3 linked regions of the Drosophila melanogaster genome follow. The protein of the gene in region 2 interacts with the protein of the main gene of each other region in a pairwise test. Each region holds a gene or a part of one and is shown on either strand. Other genes may lie near its edges.

Region 1 (8,314 bases), on a different chromosome or scaffold from region 2:
TACTCACACCCTAAAAGGGTTATTCCACCCATGTGTTTGGAGGCCAAAGGTGTTTATATTAGATAAAGAAGTTTAAAGTATCCATTGTTAGAGCTAAAAGTATAACCTCATGTTCGAAAGTATAAAATAAATAAAAGTATAAAATAAATATTTAAAGTATGTATGCTACTCGAAAATTCAGATTCAACGAACTATTTCCTGAGCTAATTGCTTATCACCACCTCGTTATCAGTTCAAAACTAAATATTTAATTAACACACAAGAAATGACAGTAAATGTGTTGATATAAGTGAGTCAGTCAGGCATGCAAACACTCCATAGGTTTTCAAACGGCGAAAGTGTTTGTTTCTCAGTGAGTTTGCTTCTAATCGAATGCAAATTTCAATTGAGCGCCATTTGAATCGCCAATTCAATCAAACTTAATTGATGCATTGCCTTAATTGGAATTTCCCCAAACTAGATATGGGACACCGCTGGCCAGGAGCGATTCCGGGCTCTACGCACCCCGTTCTACAGAGGATCGGACATCTGTCTGCTCTGCTACGCACTCGACGACCGGGACAGCTTGAAGGGATTGGGTGTGTGGCGCAATGAGTTCCTCAACTACGCAGATGTGGACCAGGACAAGTTTCCATTCATCGTGGTGGGAAATAAGGTGAGCCATGCTTGCAGAACGTTCATCTTGAGTTTAAAAGGTTAATTGCTTCCAATTGTAGAACGACATTCCGGCGCAGAAGCGACAGGTGAGCTCCGACGCAGTGCAGCAGTGGTGCGCGGAGCAGAAGGTGGCCTGCCACATCGAGACGTCATCGAAGGCGGCCACCAATGTGACGGATGCGTTCGTCCTTGGCCTTCGCCAGTGGCGGCACATGGAGTGCGTGGCCGAGGCGGAACTGCGCCAGCACGGCGACACCATTGACCTCACCCGCCCCATTCGCCTGGTGCAGCGGCGCATCTGTTGCACAGGCGGAGGAGGCGGTGGCGGCGGCGTAGGGCAGGACGCGGATGGCGATGATGCCGCCATGCACAGTCCGGGCAAGAAAGTGTTCGGCCAGAAGCGCAACGCCAGCAAGGCGCCAGCCACCAATTATCGGCTATGAGCAGACAGACAGGAGCTGTCAGGAAACTTACGCTTAATTTAACCACTCACCCCGCCGGGTTGACCTTCAGATTCAATGCATTCCAGTCCGCGGAGGGGCAGGAGCTTCAGACCGAAAGGCAACCCATCCACCCAATGTTGATGGCTGTAGAGAGTGGATTGCCTCGTTGTGGTTGATATTCTAAGGGAACTATGCTTCACAGCGAGCTAACTATGAGCTAGCTTCTATGTCAAGAATAGGATCTCCATTTTTACTTGCTATGCTTTAATATTATCTTACTAAGTTATTATTTTGTTATGTTACCGTATCGAATATATGCGGTATGAAATACTCTTATAACAATCGTATATAAGCTTTACCATAACCAAGTGTCTTGCTTGAGGAAAGCAAGCTTTAGGTGTCTAATGTACTACGCATAAGGCAATCAGAATGTAATCACTACATTTTTTCCTTATATATTGCATAATTTCGGAGTGCCTTAAGTGTGTTTATCTGATGTGAAAGCTGGGAACAAACGAATAAATATGAATACCGCACGTGTTTGTTTACAAAGTATGTTTATATTTTAACAATTGGTTTAATGTACAATAGTAAAATGATATAAATACGCTTACCCCGGATTAAAATAATATGCATGTAGGTATAACACTTCTTCTGGCTGCGATCGACACTCCGATCCTGGTTAAGACTAAGGCAAACTCTAGGCGCTACTCACTAACAGGACAAGCGTATGGTAGATCGAGTGCTTAACTATAACGCTCCACGTGGGCTTAATGTGAAGACGTGTGGAAACGAGTGGAGTTGATTATCACGAGCAGCACCAGGCCGGTGGCCACAGATCACTTCTTCTTGTAGCCGTACGAGTTGATGGTGTCGAACTCGGTGTCGCACTTGAGCAGCAGCTGGTACCACTGGTCGCTGTCGATGCGGCTGGCCTCCCGGAATCCTCCGTAGGCGGCTGGCAGGCACTTGGGCGACATGTATTTGTGCAGGGACTCGCGATCGGTGCCATGGAAGATGATCCTGCTGCGCAGCTTCTCCTTGAGGAAGGGCTTGAACAGGGCAAAGACCACCTGGAAAATCTTCGGCTGGTTCACGATGTGAATGGCCTTGATCCGGAGCGGCACCGAGTCCTGAAGCCAGTCCACAATGCGCTTGGCGAACGGAGGCGTAAACTGCCACGTTTGCTGGAGACTGAGGCCATCCATGTCGAAGATCACAACGGCTCCGCAGATCTGTGTTTCTGGCTCCAGCATGGCCGCCTCCAGGAAGAGCACAGCTCCCTTGAACACCTCATCGAGGGTGACCTGCTTGTGCTTCCAGCGCTCTGTAATCGGGGATTACGAAAGATTAATACAGGATCTGCTCAATGCTTGGAGCAACTATGAAACTTCAAATGATAGGAAAACCTGCATCTTAACTAAAATAAACTTTACTCTGAAGATCGAGATCTTTGCACTCAAAAGCTAATATATTGAAGTATCCTTCTTTCAGTGTACTTACTGCCCAGTTCGAGGACCAAAATGCGACGACCCAGTTGATCTCGGTTGGGGAAGACGGTAAGGATGTTGTGCTTGAAGATGTTGGCCTCGTTCGATGGCTTCAGGTCGGTGTACACATCCGCGTGCTTCACCTTGAAGGCGTAGTACCGCTTAATCTGTTCCATATTCAGAATATATACAATTAGTAACACAGCTGGAAACTGGGTTGCCACACTAGACTCACCAGATCACGGGCACTTTCCGGGTAATACTTGCAGGGCCGCAGGTATCTGATCAGCCACTCCTCGTTTCCCTTGGGGTACAGCAAGTCCGTCTCCGCTGGAAGCATATCGCAAATATTAATCGACCTCACCTTCAATAGTCTTAATTCTAAAAAGTCACTAAACCACTGGCATTAAGTTTATCCAGCAATTAAAAGGCAATCGTAATTTGTAACAATAGTTACGAATCTTATGCAACGAAATCCTCTCGAGGGCGCGCTGCTTTTAGCCCCAACTTGTTATTAGTGACACGAAGTCGCCAACTAATGATATAGAACTATTCGTTCGAACTTGGTGTACAAATGGATTTTCAATTCCCAACAATCGGGTAAATTATTAGATGCAGGCTAAGTACGAAGTTTATGGCTTAAGTTTTATTAACTCAAGTTTTTATCAGCTTTTGGAGATCCCTCGGATATAAATTATGAAAATAGCTTAGCAAAATGCATATTGTATGATCTCAGTTCAGATATATGTATATACTTTAAACAGATGTAATGCAGTTTCAATGACTTTCATCATGTGAGTTTTAACTCATGTAGTTAATGTATAATTATATTGATTCAAAGTAAAACTCCATTTCTGATCACGACTCACCTTCTAGAAGACGGGCCAGCTCCTTGGAGGCCTCCTTCTGGCGCTCGGGTGTTTCGCGCAGCTCCTTGATGGCCACCTCCTTGCCCTGGGCAGTCGGCTCGCCCAACTCGAACTGGAGCGTGTAGTCGCCCACCTGGAGCGTGGGCAGTTGGTCGATGTCCGACAGCATGGTGGGTACTCCTGGAAGGGAAGCAGTTGGGGTTCGGTTAGCGACAGCTTCTGTACTTTGAGCTGGGGCTGCGGGTTTCACACTGAGAGCACTGGGAACTTTGGCCAACTAAATAACTTGAGCTAACTGACATCGATTGCCAATTAGTTGTCATACTTCACAATTACTACTTACTCATTTTGCAATTGTTGCTGCTCTGGCTGAACTGAAATTATTCTGCGATTATATTAAGCTATGTGCTTTTTCTAAGCGGTTCGCCGCTGTATATTTTCAGTTTGCCAAATGTAAAATTGTGCCCTCTATTTATAAGAAGAAAAAAGCGTAGAGATTTCAATTTATTAGCGAGACACAAGTGACTCGGAACCGGCTCAACTGCATCGAGTTTCTAGACTTTCCCGCCAGTCAATGCGATGATCGTCTAAACATATCCATATATGTATTCATTTATTTATTAATCACCTGGCCGACCTTCACCTTGACATTCGCAAATTGCTTAAAACGGAAGAAGAGGCCAGAGATTCGCGAAGATAATGCAATTCTTCAGAGATCAGAAAATAACGTTAGGAGCCTTGAACTAAATTCTGGAGACACTTGACGCGTTCTACTTGAGCGTAATTTCCAGTTAGGCAGGTTTCGAATTGCGAGATGAGGAGCCAGGGTCTGTGAGCTTATATAGTGGGGCAGTTGGATATCAGAAATTAGCACACTAGATTTCCCATCAAATCGGAAATTAGCGCTGAAGATTTCCCATCAAATCGAAAATTAGCGTTAGTGCTGGCTCGAAACAAAAGACTAGGAGATTAGCATCCGAAGCGCTGACATTGAAAATTGCTACCAATTTCGGCTAGATGGGCCAGGTGATTTGCTTAGGGTATCGTCTGTTTTTGCATTCATGAATGATACACAAGAGTCTACTGAATCGCTGATGTTGTGTCTGGGAAAATACGAGATCTTAAATAGTACACACGGATCACAACACAACACAAGACAACACAACACGACCGAAACTAGTTTGGCCCAAACTTAAAGGCTATAATGGTATAATGGCTAACAGTATTCCGCAAAGACGGCCCAAAAAACCAGCTGCGAGTGACGCGTGCAACGGAGCTGAAAGCCCAGATGAAACTGTTGCGGCCAAAAGCGCGAGTCGAGATTTTATGCCAGGCCAAGAATTAAAACTGGAATTGTGAGCGGAGCGGCATGAGAGTGGGTGTCGCCGATCGAGACGCCAGTGCTGCCAAGTGGGTTTGTTTCCCGACAGTAACTACTTCTGCTATAAGGGGGTCTTTTAACTATAGTTGTTTAATGCTTTAATGCACCAAAATGAAGTAGTTTCAACATAATAAGCTTCTACTGAAACATATATTTTCTTGCTTGCTTGCACTAGTGATGGGGAATAACTATATAATGCTATTATATGAAACAAGTTGTGCACCCATTAAGTGATCATCACCAGCTGAATCTGAACTTGAGCATGACATTCACGTGCCTCGCAAGAGCGTGGAGTTGCTAGATGGAGAGACACATGGAGTTTGCCCAGGGAGAGCGAGCAAGCTTTACTGGGTCTGGGGTGCATCGTCATTGGGAAATGATGCCACCGCCACCTCAAGCCGGTTTCAGTTTCGCTTTCAACTTGGACTTGCCTAATTTATTCGGGTTTTCTTCGGGTAATCGCCCACAGTACTATTGGGCTCTTGAAAATCCCTTGGCATAGGCATTTCCCATCGCGACCCTGAAGCCCCGTGCCCGTGCATAGCCATCCGGTTTCAATGCTGCCCAGCTACACGCCAATTAGTGCTTACACCTGTTCGGCGTACCTACACCTGGGGTCACCCCACTAGCAATTTGTTGGAGACCACAAACATTGGACACTTGAAAGCATCTTCAACTATTTATAGATCATAGTTATAGATCATAAGATCGCATCTAATGACACCGCATCACCATGTCATATCATATGTCCCTATTTTCTCAGCCCCATGTGTTAAGCCAGGCATATTTGGTATAATTAACACGTCCCAAAGCCGAGCACCCTCTGCGTTGTGGACAGCAAATGGTTCCCGCCCGGTTTTGGACAAATCGGTTCAATCGCACGATCGCACGTGCGAAGACTTCGGCCATTCATGGATACGGATTTACGTTGCGATGATACTCTCGATTTCATTACGGCCAGTTTCGGTCATTTGGTCAATTTTTATTGGCCATCTCGAAGCGGATGCTGACGAAAACTGGGTGGTACAAAGCTGCGAGTATATGGAAAAAACTTGAAGCGAGTAATATGAGTAATTCTGGGGTTACGACCCATTGCAATGTCAACCTTCGCCCTTCGGTTTTTTCTTTGCAAAAAGCGTGTTAAAAACCCTGCATGAGAAACCTGCTTTTGAAGAACGTGACAATGGCGGTTCAAAAGCAAAAGTGCTTTGACCTTACTCAAGAGATGGAAAAAGTACAAGTCGGTAGATATTACTGACATCGAACAAATGGATTGTTACATGAATACTCGCTTGATGTCCAAACAATTTAGATGGCATATCAAAAGGCATTGCAAAAAGTGTTGTTTTTTTTAAATTATTTATATTTTGAATACCTTTTAAATACTCTTTCTCGAACTAATCGTGACTTTCAATTACCAGCACAACTGTATATAAGTTTTTAACAAACTGGTGTATAGTTTTTCGAGCAACTGTAGCCACGCGCCTTATATAAATACATACGTACGTATATAGAAAATAATTCTATTTGAGGGAGATAATTCTAAGAAAATGCATATAGTACTTGCAATAAATATACGATAAAAAATGGGGTTCGGCAGATTTCGCTATTGCTCACCAAGTGGGAATTCAGAGGGCAGGCACCTCATCGCAGATGCAGTGGTCAGCATGGTCATGGCGATGCAGATCGAATGAATACACACACAAGTTACTTTACAACTAACTAAACCGGTATGCACATGCAAATGCTAGCGTATGTAAATAAATTAATATTTCTTTATTCAGGCTGATCGAGTCGGGAGCATCGGCGGTGGCTAAATGGGTCAATGTCGTCGGCGAGTTACTGAACTTTGTCTGAAATTCTCGAGCGACGAGTGCGAAAGGGGGGAATGCATGCAACAGTAATGAGCAAAAGGCAATGCAAAAAACACGGACAGACAGTGATGCCTCGTAAATAAGGGCTGAGCGTAGCTACATAGTGATAGTGATGGTGATCTGGCTAAGATATTTTTATGGTCCCTAGCGCTACACACTCAGAAATGCACTCTTAAAAAGAAAAGCACTCTATATGTATATATATATACAAATGTATATATGAGATCCAATTACTCACCTTGTTTGAATTGAAAATCGGCTAATCCACAAATAGTTGGCTGGTACAGTGGAAATCCTTCGGAACTCCCGTTCGACTCCGATATATGTACCTAGTGAGCTTGGGTCGCGTTTGAAGACTGAAAATACAAAGCTGCTTGTCAAATCGTTTTATAGCCGCCCCTTTTATGCACTGCGTGCATTGCACATATGTATTGTACGACAAAGTTATAGTTATCAAGATATATACATAGGTCGGTCGGAATAGTCGGGCACTCGTAAGGCCAGCGCGACTTAATAGGTCATTATAAGCGACCGATTCGAGTTAAGAGCTCTAAAGATCACGTCGCGAATCGCCGCATGGGATCTTCTTTTTTTTTTTTGGCTTGTTTTGCATAAGTTCACCTGAAAATGGTTCACTGAGCTCAGCATTAATTTTATGTTATTTCCATTGTTTTTAGTACGTTAAAGTGCCAAGACAAGTGCGGTATTTCTCACGGTGCAGCGCACTCAATCGATTTTCCACAGCAATTAACATTATTAAATATAATGTTGCAGAAGGTACACTGAAAGTAAGTGAGTACTACAAAATTCAAGAACTTTCTTCACTTTGTGTGCACTTTTAGAAATGTTCTTGACTTAAAACAATATAGTTATTATTATTATTATTGAAAAAATCCGTACTTTCTATCAGGAAATCCACTTTGCTATATTTTGTAACTATATACACTTTGTAACTTGTACTGTTTAGCACTTTCGAGAAATTCTCATCTGCCACTTGCGAAAAGTCCACTTCCTATATTTGTTCTAGAATGTAAACGAAGGAATATTTTCATTTCTCGTCGCAAAATACGAAATTTTTAAGTTAGCTATATAGCATCGGGGCACTTTCGCAATCGCGGCACAGCTTTATATATGTATATATATTTATATTAAGTGCGTGTTCTGAGCGTTTCGCACAGTGTATCGTGGTTAATCTTCTGATGGTTACGCGACTTGGATGCAATTAGACTTGAACTTTTGAACGCTCCGTACACGAGTAGTTTAAAGACTAATCGCCTTCGCCACTGTGACTGAGTGAAAAACGAGTTTGTAATCCCTCTTACGGATCGTAAGTGTGTAAGTTATTGCTTTGGCTATCACTCCTCCCGTTCGACACAACAGTAACTTTCTGCTTTTCTGCCGGACACTAGCTAATGTACCTTCTTTCGACTGGCGTGTCCGCGTTCCACGATCAAGTGATCAACTGACTGACGGGGGCTGTGGGTAATTCGAGCTCATTTGCTTTTAGTTTCAAGCACGAGCAATTAATTAAGTATTTCACTGCTCGCCGTTTCCAAATGTATTTCCATGCCATTTCTTGCGCTTGCCTGAGCCCATTCTG
Region 2 (9,948 bases):
CTCGAAATCGAAATTGAAATCGCATCCTGCAACCGATACGGATGGAGAAACGATATAGCATTTATCTGCCCGAGAACCACATTTTTATATATATATATATATATACATATATGAGTATTTCAGCATTTTGCTCTCTGTCTCTTGTCAATATTGATTTGTGTGCGTGTGTGTTTGATTTTTTTTAACCAGCCCATAAAACATTGTTCGAATATATACATATATACGCTAAGAGCTAATGTTAAAAATCTATATATATATATATATACACATATATTTTTTATAAAAACAAATCCTAATTCTAAGCAAAAGCGAAACAACGAAGGTGTGAATCGAAGGGAGACAGAAAACGAAAGAGAAAGAGATAGCGTTAGGCGGAAGAGCATATACAATTTCGACATAAATATTTTTTAAACATTTTACATTTTACATTGGTGTGAAAAGTTTGTACGCTCCAGACATACACATATGCATATATCTAAACACATTCCCGATTTCGAAAATATTTTAGAACTTTTAGCTTACATTCTTTGTTCTGTTTTTTTGATTTAACCCGTGTAATTATTAATTAATGAATAAACTTAAATGCGAAAATGTTCAATTTTGTGGTTTCATTCATAGTTAAAAACTACCAAAAATAACTAGAAATCCAAAAAAAAATTTCTGAATAGAAATATTGAATATTTTAATATTTTATTCGACATTTTGGAGTTTCATTTTAAAGATATTTCTGTTTTTTTTATTACAAACTAATTGAAAAATGCATGTTTCGATTTTGTTGTTTTTATTACTGGTTGATTGATTGTTTGATTGATTGATTGATTGTTTGATGGTTGTGAAGAATACATAATTGTGCCCGCTTAAATACTCGCACATATATTCGCAAAATATATATGCGTATTTATCGCGTACATGAAGGATGGGGTACTGGCTCTGGATAAGTGGGCGTGGTCGTTGTGGCGTTGGTGGGTGGGTGTGTGTGAGTTGAGTGAGTGTTGTGTGTGCGCGTGTGTTTTTGTTTACAACATAAGATTACAAATATATTACATACACGAAAAATCAATTGCGAACTAAAAACTAAAGGGCAGATCGGGCTGCCACATAGCTAGCCATATGATTCGATGGGTAGAGGGGGGGGGGGAGAGAGAGGGGAAATGTGGTGTTGGAGAGGGGGGGGAGGGTTTGTTGTTTGCTGGTCACTGGGAATGTGTGTAGAATAGGAGTTGGATCTGATTGACACTCAAATCAACGCTCAGTTGCGCTTCCGCAGGGCCAGACGACCGATGGGGCGCTTGGGCTTCGTCTCCTCCTTCTGCTGCTGCTCCGATTCCTCAGCGGCGGCATCCTCCACCGCCTCCACGGGCGTCGCCTTGGCGGGCTTCGACAGCTTGCGACGGCTCACTGGGGATAGTTAAAGCGTTAGTTAGTAATGGATTTAATAACTTGATATAGAGAGATGATTTTAAAGATTTCTATTCTAGTTTAATGTCAATTATTTCAAAATTAGTAAATTCAGAAGGCACTGCTAGTCCATTTAGAGCAAAATCCTGGCCTAATCCCTGACTAACTTACATGCTGAGTTGCCCTTGTAGCCCTTGGCGGGACTGGATGCTGGGGCGGGTGCTGGCGCGGATGCCTGCTCCTCCTGCTCGCCGGAGTTGGACTCGTCGCTCTTCTTGGCCGGCTTGCTGGGACTGGGCGGCTTCTCGGCACGGTGCTTCTTCGCGTTCGCCTGACGGCGCTTCAGCGAGTTGAGGAAGTCATCGTTGGAGCGGAACGGCCGGATAACCGGGCCGACCTTTTTGGGCGCCTCCGTGGTGGTGGTGGTGGTAGAGCTGGCAAAGGACGCCTCGTCGCCCTCCTCGCCATGATCGCCGTGCTCGCCGGTTTCCTCGTCATACTCCTCGCCCTCGCCGCCGGCATCCGCTTGTGCTGGCGCCGCTGTCGTCGTGGTTGTCACCTTGGCCGCCTTCCCGACCGGACGGCGCAGGGCGGCGATTCTCTTCGCCGGCGAAACGGCGGGACCACCCTCCTCCTGAGCGGAGACCACTCCGTAGCACAGGACGCAGACGATGAAGAGCAGGCAGCTAAGTGGATTAAAAAAAATATAATAAATTATTAATAATTATATAATTATACTGCAATGAAACAAAATTATTTAATAATTCATGCCAATCGTATATAGCTCCTATTTTAAATACTTATGCTTTTACTCATTTAAATACTTTGAAAACTGCCAAAAATAGCTCATTAAAAACCATTGCCAAAAGTGGAACACCATTTAATTACTGAAATAATTTTCAAATGGTTAAAAAGACAAAAAACACACTTCCTTATACTTAAATTAAATTATACTTTAAATAAGTATTCTGAAGGTTTCTTGAAAAATTCGATCTTGCTATCATTAGTCAGTAACATTAGAATTTAAATGCAAGTGCCTATTTGTTGCCATGATTAGATGCTTAAATATTCAAATTTTACATAAATCAATACTGAATTGTTGCCATTAAAATCCCATTGGTTGTTTATACGAACAATGTTTCGTTAATTACGAGTATTATTTACTGGAATAACTTGAATTTCGAAGTCGCTGGTGCAATGTACCGCTCGACTTTCGAATCGATACGAAACGGATCTATTCGAATCGATTCAGTGATGGAATGGCATCTGGTGAATCCCCCGGGCAAGGTTGGCCAACATCTACACGCATCTAATCCTCGTGACTTCCAGCTCGAACCCAACTCTTGGGCGATCGGACGGACGGGACAGGTCTGGTTGGACGGGTTATTCAATACAGAACCTGAAGTCGTAAATATTGTGTACATAAAATACATATGTGCCCGCCCCTACATATACAGTGGAAACTCTTTGAATGATACGACAAGAAATATGGTAATTAACTGAATAAGAAGCATGAAATTATAATAAATTTAGCAAAGTGAAGATCTAAAACAGCGATATTCAATCAACAATAGGCTTATATGCTTGCAAAATCAGCAGAATTTGTTCTCACTTTTAACTCTATTTAGATTTATCACCTGTAAAGGTCGTAAAGAGCTGGATTTGTTTAGGCTAATAATTAATATTTATTAGTAGTTGCCATTCGGGTTTCCTGTAAGATTTGCTATTTTATTTTTGTTTTTTTTTGTTTTTTTTTTGTATACTTTATGTCGCATGCTGACGGAGGACAGAGATGTGCTAACAAATATTAATGTGTAAAGGTCAGACAAACGGGTTTGTTCACTTTCGATTTCGATTTGGATATGGATTTCGCTTTAATGCCGAATTCGAATGCGAATGAATGTTGCTCCGTATCTGTTGTTGTTGTTGTTTCTACTGTATATATATATTTTTTTTTCCTTATTTCTTGCTTTAGTTAACCACTTTTTATTTCTCTTTGCCGCTGGCGACGATGGCGGCGGCTTCAGTGAGTCAAGTCAATTGCTCATATTTTATGCAAAACAAAAGACTTAGGCAGCGAACTCGTTTTGAAATTCTTTCCTATGGCAACGCTTAAGTCGAGTGCTTTGTTGTTATTGCCGCGATGAGGGGGTGGCCAGAGGAGTGGAAGGTTGGGGGAATGGGGTTGGTACGGCTGTGCAGGGCGTTGCGGTGGGTGAGTGGCCAAAGGAAACAGGTGCTTATGCAAAAGGCAGTCAACAGCGCCACGAGTGGGGCGGGGGAAACCAGTTGGTGGCAGCCAGCACCACGCCAGAATATATTTAAGTGCGCGCTCACAGTTGCAGTTGGCTAATAACGGTAAAATGTGCAAGCCAAGTTTTATTTTTAGCCAACACACATAGCACCGTTGTTCATTTTAATTATTTCTACTCGATTATCGTATCGCTCGTTTCATTTGCATTCGAGCATGCTGCATTTCCCCCATTGGGATTTATTTGCTTATGGGGTCAACTGGATTGGCTTTACATGTGGGAATACATGTGGCTGTGGATATCGATATGAACGTGGATGTAGCTATGGAGATGGCCCAGTTAAGCGACAATTATGCAACTGGCAAAAGGTGAAAGGCGTGGGCCCAAGTTGTGGGTGCGTGCCCGGCATCTTCAACATCCCAGCGACTCCAGCGACTTCAGTTCAGTGCCCAGAGGCGTGCCCAGAAATATTTCTCAAGGGGGCTTGGGCCAACGATTTTCTCTTCGGGTCGTTTAGATCTTTCATTTTGAATGGATCGATCACGTTTTGAATAAAGCTTTTCTTCACTGGTTTAGTTTAGTTCGGTTTAGTTTGTTGCTTATAAACTCACTCATTGTTATTAGTTAATTTCCAATATTTATTATACCATTGTTTTATACGCAAGGCAATATTTGGTATTTATGTATCTGTGGTGTGGGGGATCATATGTCAGTTCTGCAAGTGCTGGGTTTTCCATGACATTTGGCTAGGCACTGGGCATAGAGCATCTCGCAACCGGTTCTCCAGCGGATTGGCCAACGGGAACAATGGCAGGGCGCAGACGACGCCAGTGCGCAGTCCACACCCACAAACAATCCGTTGGGTGGACAGGTAGATAGATGGGTAGGCAAATGGATGCGGCTGGTACGGCGGTACACCGGCAGACGGGCACATTTCTGGTCGCCGTGGGCTGTTTTTAGTGCCAGCCGGTGGTTATATAAGCCGACATTAGTTGCGAATTTATGATAAGCAACTCGCGTTGGCGAGAATTTCGTGGATCAGGCGGAACCACTTATTTAATGCAGCCTCATCGTTCGGCCTCATTATCATCCTCATTTAAAGAGCTTGGTCAACAAATTGGTTTGGCTCTTAATTTATTTCATTTCATTTCGCTTTTGTTTGGTCTCCTTTTGTTTTCCTTTCGTTTCGCACTCTGTTTTGTTGGCTTATGCTGCTTATTTTATTTATTTTTTGTTTTTTTGCCTTTTTATTTCGACTTAATGGGCTGACGTCATTGGGCCTACTGCGGATATGAAAGAACTTCCACACTCAAAAGCAATTTATGCAGCATTAAAACGATTGGTTGTCTTCAAGTTTTAAGAAGCGGAAGTTGCTTTGCTTGAATTATGTATGCATTTCGAGTTTTTGTCAAATAAAAGCTGAAGAAAAACTATAAACTGAAGTCTAGAGGAAACCCATTTAAATAATGTCTTAAAATCTGAAACTATTCGGCCAATATTTCTAAATGTAGAGAAACCTTTTCAAAAAGAAAAAATGCCTCTTGAAAGTGTTGATCTTGAGCTGGGCTCAAAGTTTCCGTAACGAAATGCGACACCTGCCCCAGTTAAGCCATGCACGTTTTCTAATTGCCCTGGAGACCTCATTACGCGTCCACTACCAGCATGCACCTTTGCCCCCCCCTACGGGCCACACCCCCCAAGCCCCCGATCAGATAGTCCCCCCCCCCATTTGGACCATATGTATGTGTAGCCACTTATTACGGGCCAAACGTGCACATTCGACACCGAATCGGATTCAAATTCGAATTCAATTTGATTGTAACTGCTTTTATTGCTGCCGCGTTGGATCAAGTTGAAGTCAGCAAGCCAGTTAAATTGGATGGAGGTTGGATGGGGGTTTGGCCTGGTGAGTTGTTCCAAAATTAAGGCGAAAAGAGCCGATTGGCCGCTTGAGGCAAGTGGGTTCAATAACGGTGCATTGTGTCGTTGTTAGTTGGCCAAGTACGTGTTTTGGTTGCTTTGGTACGTGTTTTTACACTACTACTACTACTTCTGGCTGGCTGGCTGGCTGGCTGCATGCCAAATCGATCGAGTTCGCTGCCTAAGTCTTTTGATTTGGCCCAGAGTGGTATTTTGGTGTTTACGTTTTCGGTATCGCATTGAATTCGCTTTGGCCCATGAAGTGCAGCACATATGTATATTACTCATACACACACACACACACACACACACTGCCAATTTTGCGACTCGAAAGTCCTTGAATCTTGAATGTTGAATCTTGAAGGCATCGCCGTGTATTTTCATTTCTTTTATTTATTTAAAATAAATTGCATAATACACCATGCCGGGGAAATGGAACGGAAAATCCTGATTTAGCCGTCTGCCTGCCGACTCACCTACCAACTCCAACTCCACCTCTCTCCTCGCCATTTCCATGTGATTAATTCCATGCATACAACGCTGCGATTAACACATATAATACATACATATATATATGTATATATATATACACACCCCATTCGAGTGGTATTGCATTTATGCAGATATGCGGTCTGTCTGTCAGCTCGCATTAAAAGTGCAACCGTTAATTTATAAAAGACAACCGCGGTAATTAATCCAATATACTTAATTTGCTGCAGCTGCGAAAAGTCGAGGAAAGCGGTGATCTGGTGATCGGGTGATCTGACGATCTGAGGCGTTGAGCGCATCCACTTCGAAAGGAGGAGCCACTTTAGCTGGCGACCTTGAAACATGGAGCAGACCCCATACCATCACCCCCTCTGCTGTCGCCACTGTGATCGCCTTTTACGATCTGAAGCTTTAACTTTTGCCATTTCTTTGCCGGCAAAATGCCAGCCTCACATCCCGTGACAACTTCATCACATCATCATCATCATCATCGTCGTCGTTGCAATGCTGATCATGGTGATCATCGTTATGACCAAACTTTGGCATTTTAGCCACAGCCACGGAGCTCGGTTCAGTTCCAGTTTGAAGCCACGGCATGTTAAAGTTCAAATTGGCATTAAGACGAGCTTACCTACACCTGCATGTGGTTGTGCCCCATAAAGGTTGCAAGTCAACGTGCTACATGCAACGGAGTCGATTGCCAATGCATTTCGACGGTTGGCAACTAAGTTGGGATTTCGAAAATTAAATATATGTACCAAAGAAATTCGAGAAGTTTAGCGTGCGTGGTGGGCTATGCAAATCAAGCTCAAAGTGGTTCGATTAAAATATTCTTTAAATATTTTTAATTATAAAATGTGTCTATTAATAAGTTACTATTTCTGTTCCAATGTCCTGTTCAGTTTTATAACAATCACTTGAAAAAAAAAATACGATCTCTCCTCATCGGTCACGAAACAATATTTAATATTTTGAAATAAATATATACTATATATTTTTGGATCACTCACATGTTGAAGTACTTCATTTTGTCTTGATGTGTGTGCTCGTGCGTGTTTTTCGATGCGTGGGGAGCGGCTTTGGACCAACAACAAAATGAACTCGAAACGCGCGCGTCTTAAACTTAAACTAGAAAAAAAACACTTGTGTATTTATAATTGATTTTATATATTTTTTTTTGAGGGAGGGGGGCGAGGTTATCGGCTTCTCTGCTAGCGAGCGGTACTGACGACTGGCCACGATCACGATCGACTTCTAGAGGCAGACTGAACGTTACTTATGCCGTGTGCACACAGTTAACCTACGGCCATCCAATATTTTGTGGCAGCGACGGTGACTTCGACGGCGGCAGCGGCTGCGCAACAGGTTCAGACCGCCCTAGCCAAACCGCCTGCCTGCACCTCCAACCCGTGGCCACCGCCTCCTCCTCCTCCTCCGCCAGCGACTCCCAGCCCCTCCACTTCCATCGCCGCCTGCGCTCAAAAGCTCTTTTTGCTTTTGCACGGCGCGAAAAATGTGGTAAGAAACGTCGAATTCTAGCCATACTTTCATCTATAGTCATCAATCAAGCAAGGCATGCGAATTCTTCAGAACTTTTCCTTTTTGCCATATAACATATATGCTTAACTTAACTTTGGTCTGTATTTGTATCAAATTACAAATGCAAATTCATCAGGACTTATTTAGTCAACTGTATAAACTATATTTATACATTCAATTGAATGTGTTTAATATATGTATGTATCCATGCTATATATTTTTAGGAATATATAGAAGTTTATAATACCGCAAATTACTTAGTTATGTGATTACAGATTACTGAAGTTTCCTTGCCATCCTTTCCTTTTTTGTGGATGTGAGCAAAAGAATAATTTTTAATTAATTAAAATTAATTTTAAATTAATTTATGCCGACGTACTTCACATATTCCCTGAATTTTTCCACTAACAAAGAAAATTCCTATGCCCCTTCAATGACATCATTGATTAAATTAGTTTGTATAATTTAACATTATCTACCACCCGCCAAGCTGATATTAAAAATGTAATTCCTGATTTTTTCGCCTTGTGTGCCCAAGCGCCTCGATGGTCGATCTGTGCTGGCAGGAGTACTTCTGGTTTTTCGGAGCCAATTTGTCACGGGCCTGGGCTCTGGTTATGACAGGTTTTTCGTATCCAATCCACTCCAATCCCAGCCAAGTCAAGCCAATCCAATCTGAGTCGAGCTGAGTTGAGTTGAATTGCGTTGAGTTGAGCTGAGCGGAGTGGAGCCGACTCAACATTCGCAATTTGTATATTTTATTAATTAATTTATTGATTTTAGGCCAATTGTTGTTTTGCCTCTTTGCCGATCTGGTAAATCCCGATCGAGCTGACCAACCAATCCCCGAAAGCAGCCGTCCCGCCCGTTGGCCAAAAACACACATCTGTGCCGCATGTAAATCGCTAAGTTCGCGTTTAAAAATTAACCAAATCAAGTCAGTTAATTATCAACGATATGCAAATACCCTAGAAAGTGTAATGAAACAAATTTCAATTGACTTTTGGTCACATGTCAAATGAATTTTTCCACATTAAAAGTTTTCCTTAATAAGAAAGTGAAATAAATACAAATATTAATTTACATTAAATATTTTTACAAGCATTAAACTCTTTGAAGACTAAAATCACTGGACCTCAAATGCAAGTTAACAACTGATCTTTGAAAACTTCAATGAATCTCAATTCTATGGCCACCAAATCCAACCGAAATCCATCTGCAAGTCTGCGGGCCCTGAGTCAATTTAAGGTATGGAATGGCACCAAATTAAAAATCCGTAAAAGCTGATAAAGCCAGAAATATTTATGCATATTTTGTGGGTTCGTCGCGGCCTTGAACTGATTGATCAGGAGTGCTGCAGGGGGGGGGGGGGGGTCAGGGGCGGGGTCTGTAGGGTGATGGCTGCATATGTTTAATGGGTGACAAAGCTGATGGGCGCTAATTAATCTTCCACACCCATCAGCTAACGATCGCTTTGAACTCTTGCAGATGTTCTGCGGCCAGGTGTTGATTTTTTGGCGGCACTTGGCTCAATGGGACATACTAATTAAGCTCCAAGATCCGAGATGCGAGCTCCAAGCTCCAAGCTGTGAAGCCAGCCAGCCGTCTGGCCAACTCACCTTGAACTACAAAATGTCAGCCAAAATGGCAAAATATATGTTATAAAATATAAGCGAGATAAACACACATGGATATCATCTGATATGCCAGATGATACAACGCAATGGTGCAGAGCATAAACCAGAAACTTGTTAAAAATATTAATAAAAAAAAAAATAAATACGCAATGGGACAATGGCCGCCATTTCCATCCCAGTTCCATTAAGATCCAATCCAAATGCAAATAGCCATGCAAATGGAGCTAATGGACCCGATGATTCCGGCATATTTCCATGCCCATCACGTATTTGGGGGCCAGATTAATGCCGCCACATAAACAGATACAGATACAGATACCGATACCGATATAGATACAGATACGAACCCAAAATAAAGGCAGTTTTATGCAAGTTTTCATGAACCGAATAACTTTAGTTTGCATTTGATCAGACTTTTGGTTTGAGCTTAGCTCTAGGTTTAAAGTACATATTACACAATGGTTTAAGTTTTATTAATTGCTTCTGATTCCGATTCCTGTTTTTTTTTTTTTTTTTATCCGTACTCTCTAAGGCAGTAGAACAGTCTCATCGTTGTGGGATCTTATATGCCGCTCCAGACGATCTATGATATAGGGGGAGATATATATATATATATATATATGTGGGGATAACCGAACCAAACCAAAGTAGAAAAACAAAAAAGTTGATGAACAGAAAACAAATGAATACTGATTTTATACACATTATAGTTT
Region 3 (4,440 bases), on a different chromosome or scaffold from region 2:
ACTTTCTTCTAACTATTCCAATTCATTTAGTAGAGTTTTGCAAAGCAACTAGGAATAGTTTTACCATACACAAGTTCCTAATATGTTATGCATTGCAGGTCAGAAGCGTGTTGCCCCACCTCCACCGCTGGAAACGGAGGCTGCCTCCAAGTCGGTCAAGAAATGGCGACGCGTGGCACGCAAGCGCGGTTTCCTTATTGGCGGATTCAAGATTCCCTATCTCAACGATCAGCCGAAGAAGCTCCCACAGCCGGAGGCGGACTCATATGCCTTGACCTTCTTCGAACAAACCTTCAATTACAGTACAAACCAGGACGCCACCGAGGAGGACTTCGTAGAGGCGGCCGTAGTGCTCAACGAAGATTCGGAAGACGAATCGGTGGCCGACGACGCCAAGTCGGCTCGCAAGATTGCAAAGCGCAACAGGAAACGCATACGGTCCGATTGGGCACCGCTTAACGAATCGAAGAAATATAATGATTGGGGCAACTGGTGGAAGGACTACAAGAATGTTGGCGAGGAGATCGACCAGCAACTGTTGGAGTGTGGGAACTTGAATCTAGAGCATTGCTTCCTACCCAATCTGCCCAAGCTAACCACAGAGCAGGTGGTTTACGCTATCATAAAGTCGGCACACTTTGGTCTCGAGAAGAATGCCGACGTGCCGTACGACACAATGAAGACGATCTTTACGTTGATGAACCGCACCTTCCTGGATAACCTTACGGAGTTGAACATGGTGGAAATACAGGACATTATTCGCGGCATACCCAATGACCTGTGGGTTTACAAGTTGCGCAGCATGGTCTTCCTGTGGGCCAAGTACAAGGCCATTACCAATTCCAAGTCCACCGCCGAGGACGACGTCAAGGATCAGCAGGCGATTGCGCGCGAATGGAAGAGTCCATGCTTCCACTGGCTGGCCAAACAGGCTTTCGACGAGCTAGTGGTAAGTTGGTAACATAGTCATGCAGCCTATTTCATACTAACTAACTCCGACCTTGCTTTTTATAGGCAATCAGCGAAACCGAATGGAAAGACCATCGCACTGTCTTTCCCTCTATAGAGTAAAGTAATTTGGAAACTAGACACCTCCCCTCCTTCTCAACAGCCGAATATGCACTGGACCCATCAAAGGAGGAAATAGAGCGTGGGTTCTTCTTCAGCATTATTTTATGGATTGTATGAGTCTGCATCTAGTTGTATTAGAGACCTTTATTATTGCACACATGAAGAACCATCCTCTTGACTTTAAGAAGTAGATTGTAATTATGTCGCAATGCTTTTACAAATAAATAACTTACCCAGATGGGCGTCTCTTGCGCCCTGGGAAATAACTATAATACTGATCAGAAACGTTCTTCCTATTTGGAAGGTCCGATAGCAATTATGTCTTGTATCTTCAAAGCATGTATTTTGGCGAGATATAAACTCAAGTTCATGAAATCTGTATGTATACAAATGACGCTAGAAGAATCCTATTGATAAAGAAGTAGATTGTAATTGGAATGAATAATAAATACATAACCAGCACAGAAACTGTTTTGCCTCAGCAAAGGGTAACCGAATTATTACTTCAGACAAATTAACAAGATAAGATATGAAAATATTGAAAATGTGTAATAAGATACAGTGGCTTAGTTAATATGTCTTTAACAATTTTATTGCCAGCAACAGAGGGTTTCACAGAGTGTTCATAGGTGTCTTTAATTTCTAGGTTACAATAGATTTGAATCCAATTCAGACTGGCTTATATAAGCATGGTTTTTGGCGTAGAAACTAAGCGCCCAGCTGCTTGTAGAGGATGGGCACATAGTCGTCGTACTCAGCCTGGTAGAGGTTACCGGCAATGGGATTGCCGAGGGCGTACTTCTTGGCGAACTCGGCGATTTTGAAGCCACCGCGTCCATCTCCGCTGTTATTGGGCAGTCGCTTCTCGTCGAATGTGAGCTTGCACCGCTGCTCGTAGATCAGGAAAACGTAACGATGGAGTCCGGTGTCTGGTGGAGGCCCGGATCCCACGTAGGCGGAGAGAACCTCGCCCTTGGCGACATCTCCACCGGGTATGTTGCCCACCAGCCAATGGTGCCACTCCCTAAACTTGGGATCCTTGCGACTGGGCGCATCCGGATCGGTCATGCAGAGGGTGTACAGCTTATTGGCGTCCGCCTCCCATTTCACGCACGGCTCATCCTTCACCTGGGTGGGGGTCAGGACCTGACCCGGCTTCACGACAATATCGCCGGGATATTCCACCACAGCTGTCTGCGCCGGTGCCTTGGCGATCACATCCGGAACTACGCAGTGCTCCTCCATTGTTTTGCCTACTTTTTCGCAAGAATACTGCCGCTGAGATGCGATAAATGCAAAGATTGGTTTCGGTTCCTTGGTTAGGATAGAATTGCTAAAAGTTTTCAGCGTTCTAATGGCGGCCGGAAAGTTGACAGCTGAATAATTGACATTCACACCGGTTGATCGGATGTAATCTTTTCTAAATCCATTTAAAGCGCTGCGATTGAGATTACGCAACACCCGGAGCCGCATACAAATCATCCTTATTGCTTAAGTAAACCAAATTGGATTAATTAAAAAACTGTTTATTGTTCTATTTGCCGACTGACAATCGATAAGTTGCGATTCACCTGTAAGCGTTTAAACGTTTTTATCGCTATCGATAGGAATGTGTGATTTTGAATTTCTAATCTTCGAAAATATTTGCGCAGTCTACTTGAGAAAAGCATTTCCGGGAAATGAAAATAAGGCTGTGAGAATACTATAAGCAACTGAAATCATCATGGCTTGGGTTCCCACATCACGATTCGAGCACGATCTGGTGCAGTTGGAGCCGCACTTTAATCTGGTCCATGGACAGATCGCCTATGAACTGAGGAAGAAAGAGGAATTCTCAGAATCCGTTCCCATTCATACCTATGAGCTTTTGACAGCCCGCGAGGATCTGCTTGGATATGGCACGCGGGGTGGAAAGGGCCGAGAGATTCGTCAAAGTCTGCAAATGATGGAGACGATTCAGAGAGTAGCTGGCACCAAGCCGCTGGGAGAGCACGCCACAATGGAGGACTGGGAGGACACCACAATGGTGGACGTGGAGGCGATTGCCATCATCCGGAACTTCGGAAGAATGACCCTGAAACAGGACTCACTGACACTCCAGCCGCAGATCAGCTTACCTGCGGTTGCTCCAAATGAAAGCCAGCGATTTCCTTTAATCACAGATCGCGACTTCTTCACGCCACGAAAGATTCGTAGACCAAAGGATCTTCCGCCAGTGGAGAACAGTCCGGATAACTCAGCCGATGACTCATTTCACACCGCTAAAAGTCTGAGCAACTGCATCTGGCTGAACGGATTAAAATATCCAGATAAGACCAGCAAGGGCGAAATTCAGAATACATAGATACTTCATTAAATTACTAACTAACAAACCTTGAAAATAACTTGAAGATTTATTTTACTAAATCCGATTGAGCATGTACTCACATTATTTGCAATGAATATTGTCGTTCGATTTGGAACGACCTACATTTACCAATGTAGTAGAATATTTTAATGGTTTTTTTTTAGTAATACATAGATACGAATATCATATCAAAAATCAAAAAATAAAACTACAATTACAAATCGTTTTCATTAAGTCGTGTTTAATATATGTAAGTGTAACCTAAACCTATGTGCTTATGCTAGCGAATGTATGAATAACAAGAGTGAAGGAACAATAAATGGAAATGATGAGATGAAAGTGATTGCAGGTGATATGCACAGATATTTGGACCAATGCCTCGTTTACGGAGTAAAGCAACCTTGTCTTCAGGTCAGCCGCTGCAAGGGATGTAACTAGACCTGGTAGCGCTGCTTGTGTCAGGCCTTCCGGAAGATGTCGCTGGATCCGTAGGACAGCCGCCGTTCCTTGGTATTGCTGGTGACCAGCACCTCCTCGTCGAACTGCGACACCCGCTGCATTTTCGGTCGCATCAGTCCACGTACATCGTTCAGCGATATATCAATATCTCTGAACGCGTTGAGCAGGAACACAGCTGTGATAACGATCAGGAAGCCGCACACATCGCCGAGAATATCATCGAACCGCATGTGGGTGAACTCCTTGAAGAGGATGGCAGACGCAGCTATCACCAGGGTGGTGAACATTACATAGTACACTGGAGTAACTATACTAGTATTGAATATATCCAGCGCCTTGTTCAGATAGTTCATCTGGATGGCTATGAAAGTGACGGTGACCAGGATCAGGAACCATGGCATCCATGTGAGGAAGACGTTGCCTCCGTTATTCAGCGTCTGCCGTATGGCTAGGCCCAATGCCTTGCAGGACATCACAGTCAGAGATCCGATGCCGGAGCACAAGAAGATATAAACTACCACATTGGTGTGCCCATGCCGTGGTGCAATGAAGCAGGCCACAAA

The links. The genes of interacting proteins can lie anywhere in the genome.
Region 1: the proteins of CG9782 (region 2) and CG10237 interact in a two-hybrid assay, tested with the Drosophila melanogaster proteins (one large-scale study listed by BioGRID).
Region 3: the proteins of CG9782 (region 2) and CG6180 interact in a two-hybrid assay, tested with the Drosophila melanogaster proteins (one large-scale study listed by BioGRID).

The regions. Positions count from the first base shown.
Region 1 is NT_033779.5:19,434,207-19,442,520, forward strand, and holds CG10237 (uncharacterized protein), read right to left. Parts: upstream 6,702-8,314; 5' UTR 6,516-6,701; coding exon 6,458-6,515; intron 4,761-6,457; exon of another isoform or gene 4,088-4,760; intron 3,928-4,087; exon of another isoform or gene 3,807-3,927; coding exon of another isoform or gene 3,803-3,806; intron 3,640-3,802; coding exon 3,460-3,639; intron 2,921-3,459; coding exon 2,826-2,920; intron 2,758-2,825; coding exon 2,604-2,757; intron 2,428-2,603; coding exon 1,940-2,427; 3' UTR 1,644-1,939; downstream 1-1,643. Other genes in the region: Rab9, read left to right, coding at 461-655, 717-1,100.
Region 2 is NC_004354.4:16,614,261-16,624,208, forward strand, and holds CG9782 (uncharacterized protein), read right to left. Parts: upstream 7,330-9,948; 5' UTR 7,087-7,329; coding exon 7,070-7,086; intron 2,085-7,069; coding exon 1,570-2,084; intron 1,399-1,569; coding exon 1,250-1,398; 3' UTR 768-1,249; downstream 1-767.
Region 3 is NT_033779.5:12,705,884-12,710,323, reverse strand, and holds CG6180 (uncharacterized protein), read right to left. Parts: upstream 2,664-4,440; 5' UTR 2,554-2,663; coding exon 1,780-2,553; 3' UTR 1,644-1,779; downstream 1-1,643. Other genes in the region: CG5787 (uncharacterized protein), read left to right, coding at 99-949, 1,015-1,071; CG15484 (uncharacterized protein), read left to right, coding at 2,795-3,415; spict (spichthyin), read right to left, coding at 3,877-4,440.